4 linked regions of the Saccharomyces cerevisiae S288C genome follow. The protein of the gene in region 3 purifies or fractionates together with the protein of the main gene of each other region. This does not show direct contact. Each region holds a gene or a part of one and is shown on either strand. Other genes may lie near its edges.

The links.
Region 1: the proteins of SDA1 (region 3) and NOP7 purify together in Saccharomyces cerevisiae (affinity purification with mass spectrometry; 11 studies listed by BioGRID, with this or other methods). This does not show direct contact.
Region 2: the proteins of SDA1 (region 3) and ARX1 purify together in Saccharomyces cerevisiae (affinity purification with mass spectrometry; 11 studies listed by BioGRID, with this or other methods). This does not show direct contact.
Region 4: the proteins of SDA1 (region 3) and RSA4 purify together in Saccharomyces cerevisiae (affinity purification with mass spectrometry; 5 studies listed by BioGRID, with this or other methods). This does not show direct contact.

Annotation. Positions count from the first base shown.
Region 1 is NC_001139.9:691,847-697,734, reverse strand, and holds NOP7 (mRNA-binding ribosome synthesis protein NOP7), read right to left. Parts: upstream 2,319-5,888; coding exon 501-2,318; downstream 1-500. Other genes in the region: SRB5 (Srb5p), read left to right, coding at 1-290; GTF1 (glutamyl-tRNA(Gln) amidotransferase subunit F), read left to right, coding at 2,600-3,151; rhomboid protease PCP1, read right to left, coding at 3,332-4,372; GTPase-activating protein MDR1, read right to left, coding at 4,638-5,888. UniProt on the Saccharomyces cerevisiae protein: Component of the NOP7 complex, which is required for maturation of the 25S and 5.8S ribosomal RNAs and formation of the 60S ribosome.
Region 2 is NC_001136.10:655,038-660,979, reverse strand, and holds ARX1 (putative hydrolase), read left to right. Parts: upstream 1-3,512; coding exon 3,513-5,294; downstream 5,295-5,942. Other genes in the region: STE5 (Ste5p), read right to left, coding at 1-2,630; YDR102C (uncharacterized protein), read left to right, coding at 3,000-3,332; TVP15 (Tvp15p), read right to left, coding at 5,536-5,942. UniProt on the Saccharomyces cerevisiae protein: Probable metalloprotease involved in proper assembly of pre-ribosomal particles during the biogenesis of the 60S ribosomal subunit. Accompanies the pre-60S particles to the cytoplasm.
Region 3 is NC_001139.9:977,913-984,716, forward strand, and holds SDA1 (Sda1p), read right to left. Parts: upstream 4,157-6,804; coding exon 1,853-4,156; downstream 1-1,852. Other genes in the region: LSC2 (succinate--CoA ligase (GDP-forming) subunit beta), read right to left, coding at 124-1,407; transcription factor TFIIIB subunit BRF1, read right to left, coding at 4,570-6,360.
Region 4 is NC_001135.5:239,436-245,091, forward strand, and holds RSA4 (Rsa4p), read right to left. Parts: upstream 2,918-5,656; coding exon 1,370-2,917; downstream 1-1,369. Other genes in the region: peptidylprolyl isomerase family protein CPR4, read left to right, coding at 1-576; mitochondrial 54S ribosomal protein mL49 IMG2, read right to left, coding at 668-1,108; mitogen-activated protein kinase kinase kinase SSK22, read right to left, coding at 3,153-5,656. UniProt on the Saccharomyces cerevisiae protein: Involved in ribosome biogenesis. Required for processing and efficient intra-nuclear transport of pre-60S ribosomal subunits.

The sequences.
Region 1 (5,888 bases), 290 kb from region 3:
AATTTCAGTATCTTACAATTGGTGTGAAATTTTTTATGAAGCATGGTTTAATACTTGAGTTACAAAAAATTTGGCAAATAGAAGAAGCAGGCAATTCACAAATAACAAGCGGAGGGTTCCTTTTAAAAGCATACATCAATGTTAGTAGGGGGACCGATATCGATCGTATAAACTATACAGAGACTGCCTTGATGAACTTAAAAAAGGAACTACAAGGCTATATAGAGTTAAGTGTACCCGATAGACAGTCAATGGACTCGAGGGTAGCACATGGAAATATTCTAATATAATCATTGGCACCTGGGCATATTTTTACAAAATTCACTCATATAGTTATACAGAACAACAGTAACCACTTTTAATGTACAGGTATTTCTATATCTACAAACAAAAATGTGTAGTTATATATCTAATGTTGCTATACCGAGGAATTATAAAGTAATAAAGATGTTAAATTAAAAGACAAAATTTTTGAGAGGCTATTGGAAAAGAAGAGAAAACTATTTCTTGGAATCTAGTTTATTCAGTTTAGCTTTTTGTTTGGCAATTTGCTTCTTTTTCTTTTTTAAGTTCTCAGCTTGTTCCTCCTTTTTAGCATTAGAATACTTCATTTTTTTGTAAAGTTTCTTTTGTTTGTTACTCATCATTATCATTTTCAATTTCTTTTCTTCTTCTTCTTCATCCACCTTTCTCTTTTTGTTCTTTGACTTATTGACATCCTTATCAGCTTCTGAAGTTTCAGAATATTTGATACCTTGTGCTTCCAATTCAAGCTCTTTTTGAGCTTGTAGCTCTTCGTCATCGTCATCATCTTCTTCTCCAGCAACAACTTCTTGATCTTCCTCCTCAACTTGATCTTCACTTTCACTTTCACTTTCACTTTCTTCTTCTTCGCCTTCTTCGACAGGAGCAGTTGGATCGTAACCAATAGCATCACCCCATGGGCTTAAGTGAGGTGGAAGAGCCTCCCCTGGAAGATATTTGTTGGCAGGTACCAATTCGCCTTTATTGATACAATCAAATATCCACTGTGGCTGAATATACGTTCTGCCAGCTACCTTGTTTTTCAAAACTGGCCTGTCAACAATTTGATGAGTGACCTTGGACATGTCAATATCCTTCTTATTTTCAATTTGGTCCATAGCAGCTTCACTGATGACATTACCACCACAAGATAAGATCAAGAACTCAAGAATATCGATCGGAACTTCTCTGCTAACGTAAAAAACAAATGCAGAAAACAAAGAAGCAACAGGAGAATCGTACTTACTTGGCTGTATTAAGATGTCACCCTTGTTCTTATTGTTATCCTCGAAAGTATCTAGTTCCGTTTCCTCATTTTGTTCCTTTTCTTGTTCCTTTTCTTGTTTCTTTTCTTGTTCTTCCTCCTTTTCTGTTTCATCAGTATTTGCCTCATCGGCATTCAAGGCAGACTTTAATGTCGATGCGTCCAAACTTTCAACTTTTACGTCTTCCTCAATCTCAGTTGGGTCAAGTTTTAGTAGGCTGTCTTCTTGTCTGGATTCTAGAATATATGATGACAAACCACTTATGATTTTATCCTTTTTAAGATCCAATTTTGGCGGATAAATCAACCCACTATCGGTGTATAACTTATATAGGACGAAATGCAATAGAGTCGAGTAGAATTCTAAGAAGGTCAACATAATTCTGAAATCAACGTCACTGGGGATGTTTTCTGGAAACTTGAATGGAACTAACCATCTAACTTCTTCACCCTTAATATTGGCTTGATAATAAACACCTTTAATGGATACAAACACTTTACGAACCAAGCGTTCCTTGGCAACATAGGCTAACCATTGATTACAGATTTTCTGAGCATCATTGATAATTTTCGAGGAAACCTGGTTGGTAGAGGGCAAATTAGAGAAAAGAAATAACATATTCAAAGCATCATCAATATCCCTTATAGCATCTGGGAAACTTGGATAACGCTCCTTGATAATATGGTCTAAAGTATAACTATCTCTGTTTTCCTCTAACCTTTTAGCAGAAGAGACTTCTCCCCTACCCAAAGCCCTTGTTAGTTTCCTAGCAAAAGTCTTGTGTTCTCTAAATTTAGCCAAAACGGGCTCATGCATTAGATATTGAATATCCTTAGCATAGTAAAAAGTAGTTGGTGCAGTAGAGCCCTTGTTTGCCTTCTTTTTATTTCTTGGCTCTCTAGGATAGATACCTTTGAATATACATAATCTTCTGAAATCAGCAAGAGAAACCTGTAATTTTCTCACAGCTTGAGATCTGGTAATAAAGTTTCTTGCGTTACCTCTGGTGTTTTTCTTCTTGATTCTCATTGTATAAGTAGGATACCGCTGTTACTATACTATTTTCTACAGGAATAAAATGTATTCCACCAGCAGGATTTACTACACATCTCTAATTAACCTTCCAAAATTTTTCATTTTTTCTCATCTCATCTCATCGCAAAAAATTTTCTTTAATTTTTTCAGGCAATAATAATAGTCACCACAGACGACATGACATTATTCTGTAAATATAACATCAAGGAGGTAATAGTGACTAGCATTTAGGCTTTTAGATCGAACTATTTGCACTTACCCATAGTGCTAGAACGATGTACAAAACATGGCGTCTATGCAGAACACATACAGTGGGTGGGTTATGCCATGATGGAAGTCATCGGTTCGTATCTACGGGAGGGGCAAAGATTGGTAAAAAATTTGAAAATATGAATCAAATAAGGGATTATTTATCAAGACCTGTATGGTCCGTCCACGAATATTTAGGCATAAACACTAAAGAGGAAAAACTAGAGCCACCGTCTGCTGAAGCTGTAAAAAAATTGTTGCGGTTATCAGGTCTTCCCTTGGAAGGAGCAGATATTAAAGAAATTCAAATGCGACTTGCCAAGCAATTATCATTCATCAACAAACTCCATAACATACCTGTCGAAGGTGAAAAGCACACCAAGGAATATGATGCTCGGTTGGTGCAAAGAAATACGAAACAGCTGAACTACACAAAGCTACTTGAAGGCATCAGCCACCAAAAGCAGGATGCTGAGCTAGGAGAAGTTAGCGGATCTTGGAAAGCAACTGGACTTGCCGCGGAATCCAAAAATGCATATTTTGTTGTCAAAGAGGGACTACTCAAAAACAGGAAGTAAGACTTAGAAAAGTAACACATACGCTCTATTCTATATATTCTTTTGCCTATGAATTTTCTTGTACATGTACCACCACGATAAGGCTGAAATATTTTTCAAATGCATAAATAAGATTAAGTACATAGAAGACATAGCAGTATTTACAATATTTCGAATGAGAATGTGTCTTTTTTTAAGTGATTAAAACCACCTACCAGCAGCCTGAAGGCGACGCTGCCTTTGTTTCTCTACAGCTTTACTTATATACCATCCGTACAAGACCCCCATCATAGAGCCACCTAAATGCGCAGCGTAATCAAATGACCCCCATCTTAAAGCACAACCAGCTGCATTCCATGCCACTGAAGCCAAGAATGCTACCCAAGCCCCACCTGGGACTGGGAAAACAAACAGCAAAATTTTAGCGTGTGGGAATAGATATGAAAAACATCCTAAAACCCCAAATAGCGCTCCACTGGCACCCAAGCTAGGTCCGACAATGGCTAGGCGTGCCAGTTTTGGATACCATAACGAAAACAAAGAACCTGCAATGGCACTATTCATATATAAGGAGAAAAAATTGGATGCTCCCAACATTGTTGCGAGTGAAGTACCAAAGGACCACAACGCTAGCATGTTCATACCTAAGTGCCAGAATTCTTGATGTGAAAACGCACTTCCGATTATCGAAATTTTGCTAGTTACGTAATCCTTTTGCAGCAACATGTACTTCTGTAGAAACCTCCAGCATTTGGGTAGCTGCCATAGTCCAAATACGGCAACATTGATGCCTAATAACGCGTATACCAGATTCTTTGGATGCGTCTTAAAATACGTAAAGGGTGGAACGTGCTCGAACAAATAAGGGGAGCCAAAATATATTCCTGCCATTAAAGAGAGCCCCAAAATAGTCATAGAGCCCAGAGGATTGCCGCCGCTTCTCTGCTGCTGGTACTGCTGAAACCTGTTCAAACGTACGTATCGATTAGTAGTTTCTTCATTGAATATAGGCTTCCACCTTGATTTCAAAATTGATGTTTGAGAAAAGAACCGTTTCGGTATAATTTTCTGAAGATTTGTGACATTGTCCTCTAAGTTGGGAGCATTTTTGAGTATCGACGTGCTCTGGGATCTTCCAATATATGATACAAAAGTCCTCGAAGGTGAAACCGAAATATTACTGCGGAAAAAAATTCTTGTAGCAGGTCGAAGACCGAGCATAACAGAGCTTACACCTGACATGTTCACACTTGGGCAATTTATTACTTTTCACTGTCTGTATATGTCAGTTGCGAAAGCTGTACCCTTTTCAGTCGTGATTGCCACCTTTTCTATTTCACCGCCAATTATACTTCCAGACAAGAATTTAGGCTTTTTTCGCTCCGAAAATCCGCATTTATGAGAGTTATATGAGGGATCTTCACCAAATCCTGGCAAATATTGCTTTAAATATCTATATAAACACGTACAGATGTTTTAGGGTGACATAAAATTGATAAGCACGATTTCATGCTTCAAATTCAATAAGGTTGGACTTCTCTTCCGAGGAATTTGCCGACAAAGGCTCAAAAGACCTTTCTTGTATGGCTTTAGTGCTAGTTTCATTGGCATCGTCGATCTCAAACCAGGAACTTTGTAATAACTCTTCATTCTCGGGTTGATGCTCTGACGTGAAATCATCTAGATCATCGTACTTTTCTTCTTTGGTAGTTATTGAACTTGCAGCGGCTGTTGGCGTACTCTCTACAGAAGCAATGCTGCTCCTAGTTGCCACCGAATCGACACGACGACGAACTTGCTCAGCAACTCTTTTGCCGTCTGCCAATATACCGTCAAACATACTTCTGAGGACTTTATTTTTGTTATCAATGTTGACATGTTCGTCGACGTGAACAGATGATCGTAAAGTATTAGAAAAGAAAAGCTCGTAAGTTTCATCTGCGAGGATGATCATTCTAAATGTTGGCAAATCTATTACTTTTGGATGGGTGGGATCTAGGGCTGCATTTGCCTTTATGCTTTCCAGTTGTTTTTGTTTTACCGTTCGCTTTTCTTCGCCTTCATCATCAGACAAGTCAATCAAGTTTACCTCCTCCGCGAGATCAACTGCTTTAGCATATTCAAAAGATCTTTGTAGGAAATTGCTTGCAGCTTTTAGGTATCTTTCTGCTTGTTCAACTTTATATTTTTCCTCATCAATAGTAACCCCAGTTGGTAACTCGATTTGGTTCATAGTGGCTATCTCTCCACCGCTTTCCTTGATGATGTTTTCAGCAATATCATCTTCAATGCGCTTTTTAGTTAACAGATCTACATATCTACCGCTCTTCCAAGGTTCCGTTAGCAGTAGCAGCCCTTCCGACAACTGTAGCACTTCTTCTCTATGCAATTCACCATCGCCATCTGTATCATATAAAGAGAAAAAATAGTTTATAGCTTGTAAAAGATCAACAGTTACCAGTTTATCCAAGCCTGTTACCACATCGTTCAATGTCAACTCGCCGATATGAGCAGAATCCCAGTTATCAAATAACCTTTGCAGAAAATTCCTTTTTTGTTTCCGGAAAGCTGGATCTTTGTCCTTTTCACACGGTCTACAGGAGTCACAGAATTTACTCAAGAACTGAATGAATACTTCGAAACCCATATTAGATGATCCCGTTCCCATACTAATTTTGTAGGTTTCTATACTTTGGTAAAACATGTCATAGATATTGGACAAGTCATCACTGGACAGGTTGAAAGTTTTTGGCATATG
Region 2 (5,942 bases), on a different chromosome or scaffold from region 3:
TCATTTTCATTTTCATTTTCATTAGTACCTTCCTCCTCAGAATGAAGTGAAAATCTAATATTAGGAATCAGAGCTGGCTGTACTGAAGAAGCGACAGTTTCTAAGTTTTCTATATTGCTATGTTCACCCTCAGTGAGAAGGTTTCTGTCATTCACCATATTTGCGGTAGCATTTTCATTATCAAATGGAGAATCAATATGAATAGTAGTTGTAGATTCAGCATCCGACAGTGATCCTGAACTATTATCAAGTTCATTATCGGTCGAATCATCATTATCCTCTTCGTCATCGTCATCATGTTCATCAAAACTTAGACCGAAACTGTAGCAAAGAGTTTCTAAAACAAAAGTCCAGGAGCTGGCCTCGACTAGTTCATCAATTTTATCACTGTAGTCAACGTTCAAATAGCCCACCTTAATCTTCAATTCATTGGGCCTTCTTCTTCCAAAACTTGTAAAGCATCTGTAATCTTGAAATAGTATGGATTTTTTTGCTTCCATATTACTATTTGATACAGCAACAATACCCAAATGTTCATGAATATTTTCGGGATATAGAGTATTTTTCAACCAAATAGGTGAAAATTGTGTCGAGGAACTCTTTGATTTGAGATTTGAGATGGAATCTAGTGAATCTATCTTGTGTAATACCGATCCATAGTCCAGAACATAATTATTTCGATCAACGAAACAAAACTGCAAACGCGCAAATTTAATGGTTAAAGCTTTTAGACTGTTATAAACAACAATTAAACTGTCTTCTTCCTTCAATTTCGTAAAATCGATCTGTAAGATTATTGCCAAATTATCAGGTTTTTCTCGTTTAAGGGAAAGAATTGAGCTTATCGTGGTTAGAACAGATTGTATACTGTCGACAGTACTCTGCCTAGAACATTCTCCTGAATTTAAGGTGAATCCCCTCCTTATGATTACAGTATCATTATCGTGCACATTTCCAACTTCAACAACTTTGTTAGGATTGATTAAACCTAGAAAGGTACTCGTCTCGTGCCTACCATTACCAACATCTTTTGAAAAGTTCTTTATAATGGGAAGAATAGGCAGGGTCGAAGTGATATTGTCCTCATTGAATACAAAATCCTGATTCAATATACCTGATATCCATTTCTGTACAGTTGTGCTTTCGTCAGAATTTATATTCTGAACAATGTAAAGATCTGATAAATCGGCGCAATGTTGTTTATTTAAGGTGCATTTGAGTACTGAAGCTTCGAGTGTAGTCATTCTCAAGTTGGCAATAGGTGTAAATACTTCTAAATTCTTTAGTCTAATTTCCAAAACATCAACATCGTTATCCACTTCTGCTATTACAAATGCGTCTTCAAATAAGAAACACCAGCATTGTATATATCTCTGACCATCTTTGGAAATCATCAATTTGTCTACCAACCTTAGTAATCCATAGTCCCCGTCTATTCTCCAATCCTGCAATTCTTCCTGGAAATTGTTCAAAAGAATTTGAATAAAATATGACCTTAACAGCGGCAACGTTGTTTTGGTTTCGTCATCCTTTGCTCTTACCGAATTGGAAACAGCAGAAATAGAATCATTAGCTGACAACGCTACAGAGGTGTCTGCTAAGATAGAGTTTGCTCCGGACGGAATTCTTCTGTGCCCCAGGGGTGAATGTAAAAATGTATAGTTTGATTTTTTTTGTGGAATTTGGTTTCTTTCCTTGGGGGGTGCAGCCAATATGAGATTTGGGTTTAGACTTGGAGCTTGAGAATATATCGTTTGTCTTTCAACAGGTGTATAGGATAACCCAAAAGGAGGCAAGAGTGGTGAATAAGGAGGAAAGCGGGACTGAGGTGTGATTGATAACTCAGAATCAGGAATCTTATGAATCAAAAAATCAGAAATTAGAATATCCTTTAGTTCATCATTTTCTGGAATGCATTGAACGGCTTTGTTAGTATCTTTTTTACATTTGGTACAAAAAGGAAATAGCGCACGAACGTCTGCCTTTGAAGTGGTGCCAAAAGAGATAATAAGACATTCTTGGTGACTTAAGTGGCCACATGCAAGCTCTATAATTTTCTCTCCCTTTCTTCTGTTAGAAATAGGCTCGTCACATAACGTACAAGAAGCATTCAAAAAGGATTTTTTAATAGAGGTTCTTTGTATTGGATAGCCAAATGGAGCGACCTTGGGTGGTATATTATCTGATAAATTTTCGGCCCTTGGGGGCTCATTTGCTCGGGATAGGTTACTATTACTTGCGTGAAAGAGATTGGAATTAGGTCTTGGCAAAGACGATGTTCTGTGAGGGTGTTGTGGCAAATAATCAGTGGAAACCGTAGAAGGTGTATTCATTAGGTTACCGTCTTCATTGCCAGAAGAGTTTGAAGAAGTGACCCTAGATTTGGGTGAGAACGAAAATGTAGAGGAGGAAATAGGAGAAGGTGAGAATCTTTTCTTTTTAGCACTACTTCTTTGGAACCTGGCTAACTTTTCCGTCCATTTTTTTCCTCTTGACAATGGGGATAGAGTACTGGGCTTCTCTAGCTCTATTATTTGGTTGGGAGTTCTCGACAAGGTACCACTATATTGTGTCGAGCTACCAAAATTGTGAAAAGGGGAAACTATATTGTCTGTAGGAGTTTCCATCATTTAAAAGTTGTTTCCGCTGTATCCTGTATCTTCCTTTTTTAGCGCGGATGCTAGATGGGTTAAAACAGTTTTAAAATATTTTCAAATTACTTTTTTATGCCTTTCTTTTGTCGTCAACTTTTCGAGGAAATTCTCGGTATTTTCTTTAGCTACTATCGCCTTTCATATTTTGATGCAGAAAAGTACATGATGTGTAAATTAACAAGCTACATATCGCCGCACCCAAAAAAAAAAAAGAAAAGAAGGGAAATTGTTCAAAATTATGACAGGTTACCTATGGACATGTGTCGTCTAATCACTACCTTTATATTTTTTAATTAATTCATGTGCACAGGCCTGCTTTCTACTATTGAGCAATACGCCTTCTAAATGACTCTCCTACTTCAAAAATGTATCAGAGTAGAACTGCGGAAAGATCCAATATTTAACGCTTCTTCTTCACTCGAAATATTTCTGTCAGTTTTAGAATCTGTTATATATCCCTTTAAAGGAAACTTGATACTTCTAGATTTTCATCTTGTCGATGTTCAAACAACGTGTTATCAGAGAAACAGCTCTATGAGAAATCAGCTGATGTCAGTATTCTGTCAGTCACTTCGTGAATTTACATTGACTGCTCTTTCGTGCAATTCATACTGTATTATTATAGTTGCAACTAGATGGCAAAAAATTGATAATGCCCTAAAAATGACAGGCCGGTAACCCTAAGCTTTTTTTTACCCGGAGAGGGTCATGCCTCTGTGAAGCTTTTTTTGCTTTCTGAAAAAATTTTACCGAAGTAAAGAAAAATTTCAGCAGAAGAGATGAGATGAGCTAAAGCATCGTGTTATTCAAAATACTTTTAAGAAAAAACCCGACCCGACTAATATTGCTAAAACTATCATGGCTCTAGCTATCTCCCACGAGGATACTCAGATTTTGCTAAAGGACAAAAATATTCTACAGGAATCGGTCTTGAACAAATACAGAACTGCTGGACAAATCGCACAAACTGCTTTGAAATATGTTACTTCTTTGATCAATGATTCATATCACTCTAAGACCACACAGCGCCAATTAACCGTGCCAGAGCTATGTTTGCTTACCGATTCTTTTATTTTGACCCGGTTGGAACAATATTATAAAAACAAAGTTAATGAAAGAGGTATTGCCATTCCAACCACTATTGATATCGACCAAATTTCTGGTGGATGGTGCCCCGAAATAGATGATACTCAAAATTTGTTAAACTGGAATAAGGGGAAAGACTCCACTTTTGCATCATCTGTCACTGGGACTTTGAGACCGGGGGATTTAGTCAAGATTACACTAGGTGTTCATATTGATGGTTACACCTCTGAAGTTTCTCATACTATGGTTATTTACCCCGTTGATGAAACCAAACCTATTCTTCAACCCACTGGGCCACTACTAGGTGGTAAAGCGGATGCTGTAGCTGCTGCTCACATTGCTATGGAAACAGTTGTTGCTTTATTAGCCTGTGCTCTGACTCCAGAAAAGCTTCCTGCCTCACTGGGAGGAACTTCAAGTGGTATCACAGGCCAATTGATTAGAACTATAGTGGATACTATTGCCAGATCTTATAACTGTGGCGTTGTTCCTGGTTCTCGTGTAAGAAGGATTAGAAGATTCCTGGCAGGCCAAAACGAAGGTATTGTTGCCGAAAGGGAATATAAGGGTGTTGTTTGGACAGAGTCCCATCAAGAAGCAGATTTGCTATCTAATACTGATGCCAAGGATTTAACAGTGGTAGATCGTGGACAATCGACTCCATTCACTAATGTTTCTGCTATTCCAAGTGATGATTTCGTTGTTCAATCAGGTGAAGTGTATTTAATTGATTTGAAAATGGCATCTTTGGAGCATTGTACCAAAAAGGGTTTAGTAACTTTAGAAACCGTTGACTCTTACACAGGTAAATCTCATAAGGCTGGAGAATTGATTGCAAGACCCGGTGCATATGTTAGAGATTTTGCTCAAACCCATATTCTTAAATTAAAAACTTCTAGACAATTATTAACTAAAATCGATAAACAAGGCGTTTATCCATTCAAGTTATCTCATTTATCTTCTAACTTTCCTTTCGTTCACGAAAATGAAGAAGAACTCCAAAGCTTAAAGAAAGATTTGAAATCATTTAGACTTGGGATGAGTGAGATTTCCAACAACTACTTATGTGTGGAAAGTCCAATACAAATTGCTAGATGGGTTCCATGGGACCATATTTTAAAGGCTACCAATCCAAACGGTAATTTAAGTTATGATGCAACCTCTACATTAACATTACCTGGGCATGAGTTACCTTTACCAAAATTGGGTGTTTCAGCCATCAAGCTTAAATCCTTAATGAATTCAACCAAGGAATCGATTTCTTTACCAGTTGCTCGTGAATGTAATACCATCGTATTATGTGACTCTAGTGTAAGTACAACGGACAGACCCGAATTATTGAGATTAACTGGTGGTTCTAAGACCTGTCAACCGAGCTGGATTCACTCTCAGCACGAATTAAATCCACAAGATTCAATTGTTCAAGGGATCTTTCAATTAGCTACTTTGGCCAAGGATAAGAGGTTCGGTCTATTATTAAAGGAAACGCAGCCAATGAAGCAGAAGAGTGTTGAGACATCAAATGGCGGAGTTGAAGAAACCATGAAAATGTAGGAAACTTCATCATTTCTAAAGCTAGTATATAAATAATATAAGTATATCATAAAATGTAAAATAGAATATTATAAAAAAAGTCAACCTAGCTGTACTAAAACCGCTTGGTTCATTTGCTCAGAATCTTGCATTATAATTACATTTTATTTGCTATACAGATGAGATGGAAGATTAAATATCTCACGCCTGTTTCGCCATGCTTTTGTAACACCGGCGGATTGAGAGACATGGGCTTCTAATATTAAATCATGTCATCGTCATCGTCGATGTCATCATCACCAATTGACAAAGATGAGCCGGGTGCTCTGAAGTTAGCAGGTTCTTCCACAAACTGGGAAAAATGAAAAACAATAAAGGCAACCCCTAAAATAAAAGTAAACATTCCCGCCAATATGTTGTAGATACCGCCGAAGCTGATTATCAGACTTAGTAAAATATAAGATAAACCCCTTCCAAGAAAACTAAAGTAAAAGGAAGCATACCTGTAAAGATTTGACGGAACCTTGAACTCCAGATAGACGATAGGTACGGAGAGTGCCAGTCCGTAAACTGCCAAGAGGAAGACGTTTAAATTGGTGAAAATATACGTCAATTGTGAAAGGGCAGCAATAATGTCTATGCAGCCAATTGATATATTTGCAATCTTGA
Region 3 (6,804 bases):
AGAAATTTTTTCCAAAAGAGTATATTTATATGTATGTATACATGTAGGGAAAATAAGAAACTTTATTAATAGTAAAAAAGCATATATACTTTATTATTAACTCTTTTGTTTTTCTCGAGAAGCTTAATTTTGGGTCAATTCAACGACCTTTTTAGCAGCAGGATCTAATTCATCAAACGAATAAATCTTCACGCCTGACTTATTGATAATGTCGCGGCCTTCTTCTACTTTGGTACCTTGCAAACGTGCCACAATGGGGACCCTAACTTCTAGTTCTCTGGCGGCTTCTACCAGCCCCAGGGCAACATAGTCACATCTTACGATACCGCCGAAAATATTGACGAAAATTGCATCTACGTTCTTATTGGATAAGATCAATTCGAAACCTTGTTTGATGGTCTCAGGGGTGGCACCACCACCACAATCCAAAAAGTTCGCAGGATCGCCTCCATTTAATTTGATGACATCCATAGTAGCCATAGCCAAACCAGCACCATTGACTAAACATCCAATGTTACCCTTCAACTTAACAAAATTCAAATCATACTTCTTTGCCTTAACTTCATCAGGATCTTCTTGTGATAAGTCCCTCCAGGAATATATCTTTTCCTGTCTGAATGATGCGTTATCATCAAACCCAAATTTGGCGTCTGTACACATGATTTTGTGGGTTGGATCATGTTCAATTTCACTCAAAGGGTTAATCTCCACTTGTGTAGCATCCCTTTCCATGAATATTTTATACAAATTGGAAACAGCTTTTGCTGCCTCGTCTTGTGCATCGGGACTGAAACCGAGACTCTTGGCAACATCCTTGGCCATTTGTGGGCTCAATCCCTTTGAAGTTTCAATTGAAAATTTCTTTATAGCATCTGGGGTTCTCTCAGCCACCTCTTCAATATTCATACCACCTTGACTGGACGCAATGATCATCGGTTTCTTGGTTTGTCTGTCCATTAGAATAGATAAATAAGCTTCATGCTTTGTATCTACTCTTTTCACTATATATACAGCAGATACTGGCTTCCCCGCTATTCCCGTCTGTTTAGTAATCAGGTTATGATTGAGCATTTCTTTTGCAACATCCTCTGCCTGCTGAGGACTTTCGATCATGTGAACACCGCTTTTGTAACCGGTGTCGAAGTGACCTTTACCTCTACCTCCGGTCAATGCCTGCGCCTTGATGACCAGTTTGTTAGTGTTTAATTTCTTGGCTGCTTCGAAAGCCTCTTCGGGAGTGAACGCTGGAAATCCTTCTGGAGTACCAATACCGTATTCCCTCAATAACTGAGCTGACCTGTATTCATGAATTGACAAGTGTCTCCTTGCTTGTAAAGCAGCTTGCGCGTTTAGCCTGCTTAATTGCCCACACTTTGAAATTAGGGATAAGGATTTTCTTGAGTACATTTTGTTCAGTTGCAATGCTTCAGTATTTTTTTCGATTGTATTGACTCAATCCTTATTAATCCTAACTACCTAAAAGTCAGTTACAAAAAAACTGGACTATCGCTCTATAGTCACTGTTATTTTTCGAGAGAAAACGTCAAAGTGCTGATAAGGAAAACGTCGATCTTATATAAAACCTCAAAGATGTTGACTACGCGGCAATTGAAAGGCCAACCAACTTTTAGAATACTCACTCCGCCGCTGCGGGGAAAAGCCGAGAATTCCCGATGAACACATAATCGATACCAGTTGGAGCATTTTTCTCTGTACCAAGACATAAAAAGAGTTTTTTTTAGTATCTACCTGGCTTTGGTGTTCCATTCAAGGTAGAGAAGTCCTCATACAGTTGGAGAGATGAATGTATCTGTGTATATGTATGTATATATTAATATGGCTACGATGTCGTCTAATACCCCTTCTTCTTTTGTTTGGTGATGTGTGCACGTAACACTTTTTGCTTGTCTCGTAGTGACATTTTTTGTTTACCTCTAACAGATCTCTTGTGAATAGACATAACAAAGTTCTTCCTTCTTTCTTTTTCTCTGTTGGTAGTAGAACGCATGTTGTCACGCTTACCGCGTCTACTACCAAATTTGTCTCTACCTTCACGACCTTCCAACACCTTTTGTAATCTTTCCTCACGAGACTGTTTGTATTTGATAGGGCCTGTTAGTGTACTTGCATCAACTAACTCTTCACGCTTGTCTTGTTTGTGGATACCCATTATTTTAGCAACGCTTTCCTCATTACGCAATTCTTGTAGTTTAGCGAAATCTGCCGGAGTTAAAATACGTGTAGAAGCAATTTCACGGAAGGCAGCTTCGGGATCTATATCTGCATCTTCTTGCTCATCCTTCACTTCTTTTTCATCGTCATCATCGCTTAGTTCCAAATCGGAATCTGATTCCTTGCCCTTAGCATTGTCTTTTTCATCGTCACTATCTTCCATATCAACGTCATATTCTTTATCACTATCCATGGTGACCCACTCACCGTCGACATCGTCTTCTTCGCTATCGACATCTACTTCCCAGTTGGCATCAGCGTCTTCATTTTCACTCTCTTCACCATGTTCTTTCTTCCATTTGGCTAACAGTTCGATACCAGCAATCCCTTGAACACTGTTGTCGGCACCAAATTGCGGTCTTTTTGAATCTTTACCTCCTTTCTTGGCTTCTTGTACTTCCATGGCGGCATTCTTACCACGATCCTTCTTCTTTAGCATTTCTGGTGCCACGTCTCTATACAACGCTATCAATGACTTGGCAGCCATATTGACACCTTTAGCTTTAGACCCCTTATATTCTACCAGATCCTGTAGTAGAATCTCATCGATAGCCAAAGGTGCACGAGAGCATATTTCTCTAATGGTATTAATGCCTGCAGCAGCGACTTCATTGGCAACACCGTCTGATACAAACTCGTCTGCAATCTTTCTCACCATGACATTTATAACTTCAGGAGGGACAAGATCATGACATGCTTGGGCACATGCGGACATAATTCTTGTAACATCTCTTTGTTTCGGAGTTAAGTACTTTAAAAAAAAAGTATAAATTCCTAAAACAATTAACTTATGGGTACCAATCAACCTTGATAACAGCTGCATCAAAGATATTTTTTGTTCCATGTCAAATTTGTTTTTCGTTTTGCCTGAAAGATGTTCCTTAAACAATTTTTCGGCAAATCCTTGTGGATCTCTCAAAAGGTGGATAGCACTGAAGTTTAAATACCCTTGAGGAGCACCCGGTCCGTTCTTCTTCTTCTTCTTCACAGTTTTTATGGCATTCTCCAGCTTCTTACCACGTCTACCCGTTTTTTTATTGACTTGCATCTTATGCCTTAATGCATCTAAATCAAACCCATCCTCATCCTCGGAATTTTCTTCAAAATTTTCTTCACGTTCTCTGTCAGCATCCAAAAAAAACATCACACCAGACATGACAATCTTAACATCCTGATGTAATGCTGCTTGGGTCATAATTTCTACTGTTCTTGAATCATCCCAAATACCACGTCTCCAAAGTTCTCTGGTTAATTTTGTGGCCCAGATTCCCTGGGAATCTGGTTGATCTAACAAATTAAAGCAAACGGCCTGCGTAGATTTGTTCAATTTTTGATTTTTACCATTAGTATTACAACTTTTTAATAAAGAAATTAAATTTGTATAAATGATTTTCCTCAATTCCTTGGCGTGTGAATTAACGCCGAGTGAATTACCATGGGAAGAGTAAGCAACCAATAAAGGAAATAAGCTTTGAATTAATTCCTCAGCAGTAATGACGTCCTTATTCCTTAACATCGTCAAACAACTTAAGATTTTTTCTTTCAATTCAAATGGCAAGGACTTATGGTGTTCCAGCAAAAGCTGCTTTAATTCAGACGGGAAGTTTGCAGTTTCACGAGGAAAACATGAGCAGACTTGAGATACGAAGCCAACCAATTCAATAAGTTGCGAAGTTGAAGTGCTCATGGTGGTACCGTTAGTACCTGCCATTGTAGAAGATCCATTTCCTACATCGAGCCCATTAGTGGCAGCTGCAGAATCACCTCCAGCAAGCCCATTTAACATAAAAATGTCCCTTAGCGATTCATAATGTGCATATTGTTGAAGAAACTCCTCTTGATAGGACTCTGGGTCACGCTTTACCAAATTCTGTAAAAGAATGATATTTGTTGGGAGCATAGCTGCTCTACTTCTTCTACCCATTGTTGATGCCCTTGATTGGTATATTCAGTGCGTCTTGTGCTTCCTCCTTAACTATTATTACTTATTCAAAAAAGTGACGTTTGATATGTTTTTTTAGTGGTAGAACGTTCTATCTGTTAAGCGTGTTATGGTTATCTGCGATGAGATGAGTTTAAAATTTTCATTTTTTAGCCGATCAAGCAAAAGAAAAGAAAAAAAAAAAAAACTGAAATTTCCACCTTACCCGTTTTTTTAATGGAACAGTGATTGTTACGACATTGAGATTTTAGATTTATATAATCACATACATATTAAATAGTTAATGCACCTTTAATTCTTTTGCACTTCATGTTCTATATATTTTAGCCAAAACCAAATGTATTGCGTCTTTATTTCCGTTCCCTTTTTCCTTCCTAGGGTTGATTACCTAAACGTTACCTAAACAAACCGTCAATGGCGTCGTAATTAATCTTCTTGGAGAAACTTGCCTTCTGCAACATGTTCTTGACACTATCAGCAGTTGTGAAATCACCACTTTCCTCAGCTGCCTTCAATGCAGCGTGTAAACCAGACTTATCTTGTAAGTCTGACATCAATCCGATAGCTGCTGCTGCATCCACAGTTTTTGTAGGTTCGTCACTTCTAGTATTATTCCTACGTCTCGTACGTTTTTTTTTCACTGATGTGTTACCTGTGGCAATATCTGCCTCCTGTTTCAAACGTTTACTCTCTTGTTCAAGTAAGAAATCTGCGTTCAGACCAATCCAAATTCTTTCCTTCAATTTAGAAGCTTCCTCGTTTAATAGGTGCGCGTTTAACTCCTCATCATCAACATCTTCTAAATTATCTGGGTCGTCACTAACTTTCGAAAGGTATGTGTCCGTTGTGGGTAACAAGTGTAAATTGCGAGGACAATATGGGTCTGTTTCTAGAGAGTAACCATCAATGGCATCTTGAAAATGCCCAGATTCGTTCTCTTTCTTTTCTTCTGATGTTTTTGTCTTTACCTTCTTGACTTTTTCCTCAGTCCCTTCCGTCTCTTTGTCTTCCCCTTCAACATGCTCGTTCTGGATAGAAACTTCAGAAAGTTTGCGTTTCCTTGTTTCGTTTTCAGAACCTTCATGGTATATATTTTCACCATCTATACCATTAGTAGCCTTAATCCTCTCCACAACACGGGCCCTTCTTTCTGAAAATTGTTTTAAGTAAAACAGGACTTCCTTGGAAGACAGTTCTTGTTCTCCTAATACTTGCGTCAAAATTGGATTTTTATTCAATGCTTCTTCACTTGTTTGAAACATCTCTTCTTTGTCTAAAGAGTCCTTTATTTTTCTTTCTTTCTTTCTGTTCTTCACAAAGGAGGGAGGCCTAGCCTCACCGTCTTCCACATCATTTTCTCTAAATTTTTGAACTGAAAGTTTAGCAGCCTTTGTATTTTTGAATTCGTTCAACCGTTGCTGTAAAGTTTCCTCGGCGACATGTGAAACTGCGACGATCTCTGTATGAGTTCTTCTCAAATTATTCATCCTGCAAGCTAGTAGAATACATGCGCCGGCAATACCTGCAGGTCTACGTCCTTCAAACATCCAGTCCTTGGACATTCTTTGAGCCAATTTTACGGCATCTTTTACCACTTTGATCTTCTTGTCAGCAAGATCCAATTTTTCGGCAAAATGTTGAATGAATAAGGAAGGATCCGCTAACGGCAATTCTGTGATATGTAATTTCTTTACCATTTTCAAAAATGTGGCTCCTATGGAATACACACTCACCTGTAACCTTGAAGAGAAGTCGATCAGCATATGATGCGTCTTTTCCTTTCTACATGCAACGTAAAGACATGAAGCGATAACATTTTGGGACCTACGACCTTGTACAAAGTTATTAGCCAATGCAAGCTTATACCATTGGAAAGCAGCATCTGTGATATATTCCGGGATATGTAATGCGTAAGAAACGGCGCGTAATTTCCTTCTTGCATTGTTCAATGTGGCTTCTCTAGATTCTAGAGCACTAGAACCACCAAATGCAGCATGACTTTGTCCTGCACCGATAAAAGAACCTTGTACTACAGCAGCACCTGCACTTGTTTCACCGAATGTAACTTCAGAGACGATAGGATTATCTTCTGAGACAACACCACAAGCTTTACAAACTAAATCGTTGTTAGCATTGGAAAGATCTCTCTCAAATTCGGTTCCGTGACAGTTCTTACACACTGGCATTGGTATATGACTATGGACTCTTTTTTATTACCGTTTTTACCATTGGGATTGTTCTTGATGCGATCAAAAATATGATTTTTTTTATCATACCTGATACTTCGCGAAAACCTTAGAATAGCAAATAAGGCCATCGCAACATTAATAGACAAAAATTAGAGTCACTTCACTTCGTTGATTTTTGATAGCGACGGCCGTGACCATTGCAAGATTTCTAATGAGGGGAAGAACAACTTTTCTTGTAGATTACCTCCACTTTAATCGGATGTCTTTTTTTACGTCCAAGAGTATTCAATGTCATCAAGATAGAAGCAAATTTTTCTAACACTAAATGTTATATTGCATCTGTATCAGTATATATGTGTATGTGGGAAGCCATAGTTCACTACTTCACAACTTTAAAAACAATCTATTTTCCTTTGTTCACTAAGTGATTTTGTAGGCGTG
Region 4 (5,656 bases), on a different chromosome or scaffold from region 3:
GCCCCAGATGTGGGTCCTTTCACCGTCTATGGGCCCAAATTTGATGACGAAAACTTTTACTTAAAACATGACAGGCCTGAAAGACTCGCAATGGCCTATTTTGGACCTGATTCTAACACCTCGGAATTCATCATCACCACTAAAGCCGATGGAAATGAGGAATTGGATGGCAAAAGTGTCGTGTTTGGTCAAATAACTTCTGGTCTAGATCAACTAATGGATGCTATTCAATACACAGAAACAGACGAATATGGAAAGCCTCAGCATGAATTACGGTTCCTGTATTTCGTTCTAGAAATCTTAAAAATTAGTAACATCTTAGATTTGCACGCTGCGTACACAGAAAAAGTCGAGAAGTTTAGAAATGGCGATGTGTCTGTTGGCTCCACTTTGGAAAACATCTTCCGTAACGATAAAGCCTACACACCTTTAACCACCTCCACTGGAACCACCGCCTATGATTTAAACCACCCAATTTCCAGAGCCTTGATGTGTTTAACTGTTCTTGGCCTTTGTTTCATTGCCTACAAGGGCATGCACGAAAAGCCTCATACGGTTTCATTAAGACACAAGTAAGCAACTTCTTTTCGATGGCTTGATGACCACATGGCTATGATTTTAATTAATATATATACATGACAATTATTTTTTTATACATTAGCGATACCTAAAATTTCTTGGTTAATACCCTTTTGACAGCCTCTACTGCATTGCCCTTGATAATAATTTTTTTCGATTGCATCACCACAGACCATGATTTTTTGGGTATGAAAGGCAGTTGCTCCTGCAAGTCATTTCTTAGTTGAATTACATCTCCTTCAATCTTTCTGATCTCCGTGATAATCTTGTTACCTCCATTTTTATAAGCGGAATACACCGGTAGATTTCCGGTCCTGCTTCTCTCCACGTAGTAGGTCTTTTTACCAAAATTGTTGTTTCCTATGAGCTCATGCATCTTCACGTCTTCCAGCTTTGGAAATATTGGCGCCTCAGCAGCTTTATTTGAATTAGTGGATATACATCTTATCGTTTGGTATATCGAGGCAGTGGCAGGCCCTGGAAGGCATTTACCCCTACCAAAACATCTAGTAACACACGAACTGATCATAGTTTTGCTCACACGCTACCTTGGAGTAAGTTGCTTTAGGTAAACGGGCACTTCTTTCAAAAGGTTTTCCTTCTTGCTGGAGCTATACTGCTTATAGTACCATATTTTAAATTCATACCAAGCCATTCGTACGCGATGACCATTATAGATCGACCTTGCGACACCATCATATTTAATATTCAAAAAGAAAAAAATGCAGTTCTATATCACAGTTATATAATATTTATATGTGCATGTATGTTACTTGTCTTTGCACATAACTCAATGCGTCCACAATCTTACCATCTTGTCTTTCCCACCACTACACACTCTTTTACCGTCGACACTCCAGTCGACGGTATAAACTTCGTCTTTATGACCAGGGAGGTCAACAGAAAGTTTTCTAGTTCTTACATCCCACACTTTCAACGTGGTATCTTTGGAACATGACACCAGTAGTCGGCAGTCCGATGACCACGCAACCTGGTATACGCTGGCTACATGCCCTCTAAATGTGGAGATAAACTTACCATCTCTACCGTCCCAAAGTTTGATAGAGTTATCAAAAGACGCTGAGACAATATACCTACCATCAGGGCTGAACGCCACATGATTGACTAATTTTTGGTGACCGGTCATTCTTGCTATAGGCTTGGTAGATTTTAGTGGGTTCCATAAAAACATGGTATAATCATCGCTTGCAGTAACCATCATTTCTTCTGAATTTCCATTCTTTTTACAGATTTTTTCATAATTTTCCAATGCCTTTTTCTGGGCTTCTTCTGGTGTAGAAGGCTTCTTACCTGTATGATCGAATGCACCAATGCGCAATGCGTAATCTGTAGATAAAGATAAGTGATTAACCCAGTGCGCATGCGACTTCAAAATGTTGATACATCTGCCCTGCGAATTGATGTCCCATACACGTACGGTTCTATCGTGAGAGCCACTATACAATAGACCTTGGCCGCCCCATTTGACACAAGACACTGAATTTGTGTGACCACTCATCGTATACTGGCAAACTCTGCTCACAGTGTCCCAAATCTTAATAGTACCATCCTTAGAAGATGAAGCTAATCTTGGTTTGGAGCCCGGCTTCACAAGATGTATAGGTTCCCAACTTAAAGAAGTGATCCACTTGGAATGACCTCTGAGAGCATCACCTAGACACTGACCGCTTTTTGGGTCCCATAATCTTATGGTATTGTCCATGGATCCCGTAGCAATTACTTCTCCATCGGGGGACCAGGAAACGCAGAGAACCCAATTGTAGTGACCCTTTAGAGTATGCATTGGCGTTTGGGTGTCACAGTCCCAAATCCTTGCAGTATTATCACCTGCACCGGTTACCATCCTAGAACTCGTATGTGGTGCGAAGGCAGAACACAAAATTGTGGAACCGTGACCTGCAATGGCTGATGAACTTCTAGTTACCGGCTTGACTTTGAAAACTGCTCTTGGCGTATACAGTAGCGTGATCTGATCTTCTGTACTGTTATAGCCTGGTTTTATTAATGAAGAATATAGGTTATCTGTTATATCAATCGTCTTCACAGGGTCACTGGCCTTCTTACCTTGAATTGTACAGCTGAAGGTATATGGCACTGGATCGTCTGAAGTACCGTTCAATTGATTTAAAAGTTCTTCTAACTGTTTCTCGGAGATAGCACCGGGAACTCTCAGGGCGCCACCTACATTGTCACCAGTATCTAAAGCTTGGAACTTGATTGAAACATTGGGTAAATCTTTCGGAATAATAGCTACTTCTCTGGGAAGTTGAGCCTCTTTCTTTTGTTTCTTAGAAGGTGGAGGAATCAGGGTGGACATCTGTATATTGTGTTAGTGTGTGTTTATCGAGGTTACAAATATAAAAATCTTGTGATATATGTCTTTTAAAGATACTCTTTTTGAAGCTCATCGCATTTTTTTTTTTTTTTTCATTTTAAAATTTTTCACCGGTTTCTCGGGTAACAGCTCTAAATGAAATCTTGCCTTCATCACCATTATTGAATTACATTACATTATATATCGTAGTATATCATATTTTTAGACGTTGACCACTCTATGAGCTTAGGATAGGTACTTGATCTTTCTCTGAGTTGCCAAATGCTATTTCACGGATTTGTATCATCCAAGGGTCTATCAGTAGTTCCACAGCAGTAGCCCTCATAGTGGGGTCTTGAACCAAACACCTTTCCAAGAAGGCTCTTCCCGCTGCAGTCATTTCGTCTCTATTGGGTAGTTGCGGTATTCGACCTGCAGCAACGTGGTACATGATGGCCCATTCATTATCCAAGTTAGACCAAGGTCGTCTACCTGTGGCCATTTCTAGCACAACACATCCTAATGCCCATACATCGTCCGCTCCAAGTTTTCCCTTAACTGCCGAGCCTGAAATAGTCTCTGGAGCCATATACATCGGTGTCCCCATCATTTCATTGAGGGACTTTGTTTCTACTCCAAAATCTTGAACGGCTGCGTTCCGCACAGTTCTAGTCCTAGATCCTACAACGGTACGTGCCGTACCAAAATCCACATATTTTATGATTCCATTGAAATCCAGCAAGATATTCTCCGGTTTAATGTCGCGATGCACCACGCCAGATTGGTGCAAATATGCCAAACCTTCTAATAGTTCGAATGTGTACACTTGTGTTACCATTTCATCTTCAATTCTTCCATGATCCAATAACGAGGCTAAAGAACCACCCTCACAGTATTCCATGAAGATGTTAACTTTATCGCGATGTACTTCGACACCATAGTACTGGACAATATTAGGATGGTTTAACATTTCCAATACGGTCATCTCTTCTTTAATCAGGGGAAAAATCTTCTTCATTGTTGTGGTATCGTGTATCTTTATTTCCTTAACAGCTAAGATTTCACCGTTTTCCAGATTAATTGCAGAGTATACCTGTCCAAATGTTCCACCGCCAATGAAGCTTCTTTTTTGCCACCTCATTGATACATTCGATAATGAGGATGCTAGCGATAGTAGGTATTTGTTTCCCTGATCTGTAGCATCCAATACCTTACCCATTTGCCTGGGATTCCTCTTCATAGTCTTTTCCAACGTCTTTATAGCTTCCAGTCTCAACCTGCTGTTTATTTCTAGGGTGGCCTCTTCATCAATATTCTCTTCAGTATCAATATTCAATCTTGCCTGTTGCATGCCATTTTCAGCTTCAGTGGCTCGTGCACCCATAACGTCGAAATGTGAAATTAATAATGACATACATACTGATACCCTCTCCTTCAGTTCTTGAAATTGCTTTACATTCAGCGCCAGGATATTATAACCACTAGTCATCTGCATCGCAAAATCCATTGCAAGAACGCACCATCGGAAAGTTCGCTGATCGGTAGGATCACACTCTTCAACAAGGAATTTCAACCAGTTCATTCCTAATTTAACCATCAGAAAGATGATAACGTACTTCCTCTTTGAGCTAAAGGCGTTATATTTAAGGAAACTTCTTCCAAAATCCCTTCCAAACATGAATATCGAATTTAACAACTCATTTCCCGGACATTGCTTCATAAAGCTACCTAGAATTCCTTTGTAGTTGTTCAATACTGTATAAGTAAGTTTGTAATATGCCTTATTGATTTTTTGTAGGGAGGATTCAATTGAATTGAGTGAACAACGTTTCTCTATGAATGAAACAGAATCACCTACCGTTTGATTAAACTTGTCGATTTGATAAGTCAGTGCATAATTAGAACCTTGATTGAGTAAAATCAACGTATTTGGGTTACCAATTTTCCCTAAATCCATTTCGTTGGATGCAAAAAGGTTGTTACCTGGAAGCTTATATACTGGTCCATCCCAAACTACTGGCTCTCCAGGATATAGTACAACTAGTGCACCCAATGAGCTCAAAGCAACTTCCAATTCAAAAACTTCATTGTTCTTTTCATCAAGGTGCTGATCAAAAGGGTCTGTTGAAAAATTCTTCTTTTTGGACTGATGAGCATGCCTGTCCAAATCACTTGACGAATTTGCTACTACTCGGTAGTAAGGAATTCCTTTGGAATCCTCCCCTTTCGATACTAGAATGTTCAAATCTGTTTCTTTTGTTGTTATATCATACACATTCAAATTATTTCCAATGTCAAGCTTTGGGACCAAATCACAGCCAATGGATTTATTTCGCAAAATTCTTAAGATGGTATCATTGTCACAACCTAATAATTCAGGAGCAGCAAACATATATACACCACTAGACTCAAAAGTGTTACCGGAGTATACCAAAAAATAGTGAGCATCTTTTAACTTTTTAACAAGTTGTGCATTATGATTAATCTGATAAACAGCAGAATTTTGGAACGCCTTGACTAGAATATTGCTGAACCTGTTCAGCTTTCTTTTCATGGCACCCAAATTTTCGAAAATGGAACTTAGCCATTTTTCTGCTTCTGAAGCGTTAGCAAATGTTGGTGGGAAGTTTTGTTGTTTCAAAAGATAGAATTGCAATTTATGTACGAGTCTCAAAGTTAACTTGAGAAATTCATTTGGAATCACGGTTTCTGCACCGTTAATATAGTGACCGGTGTTTTTTA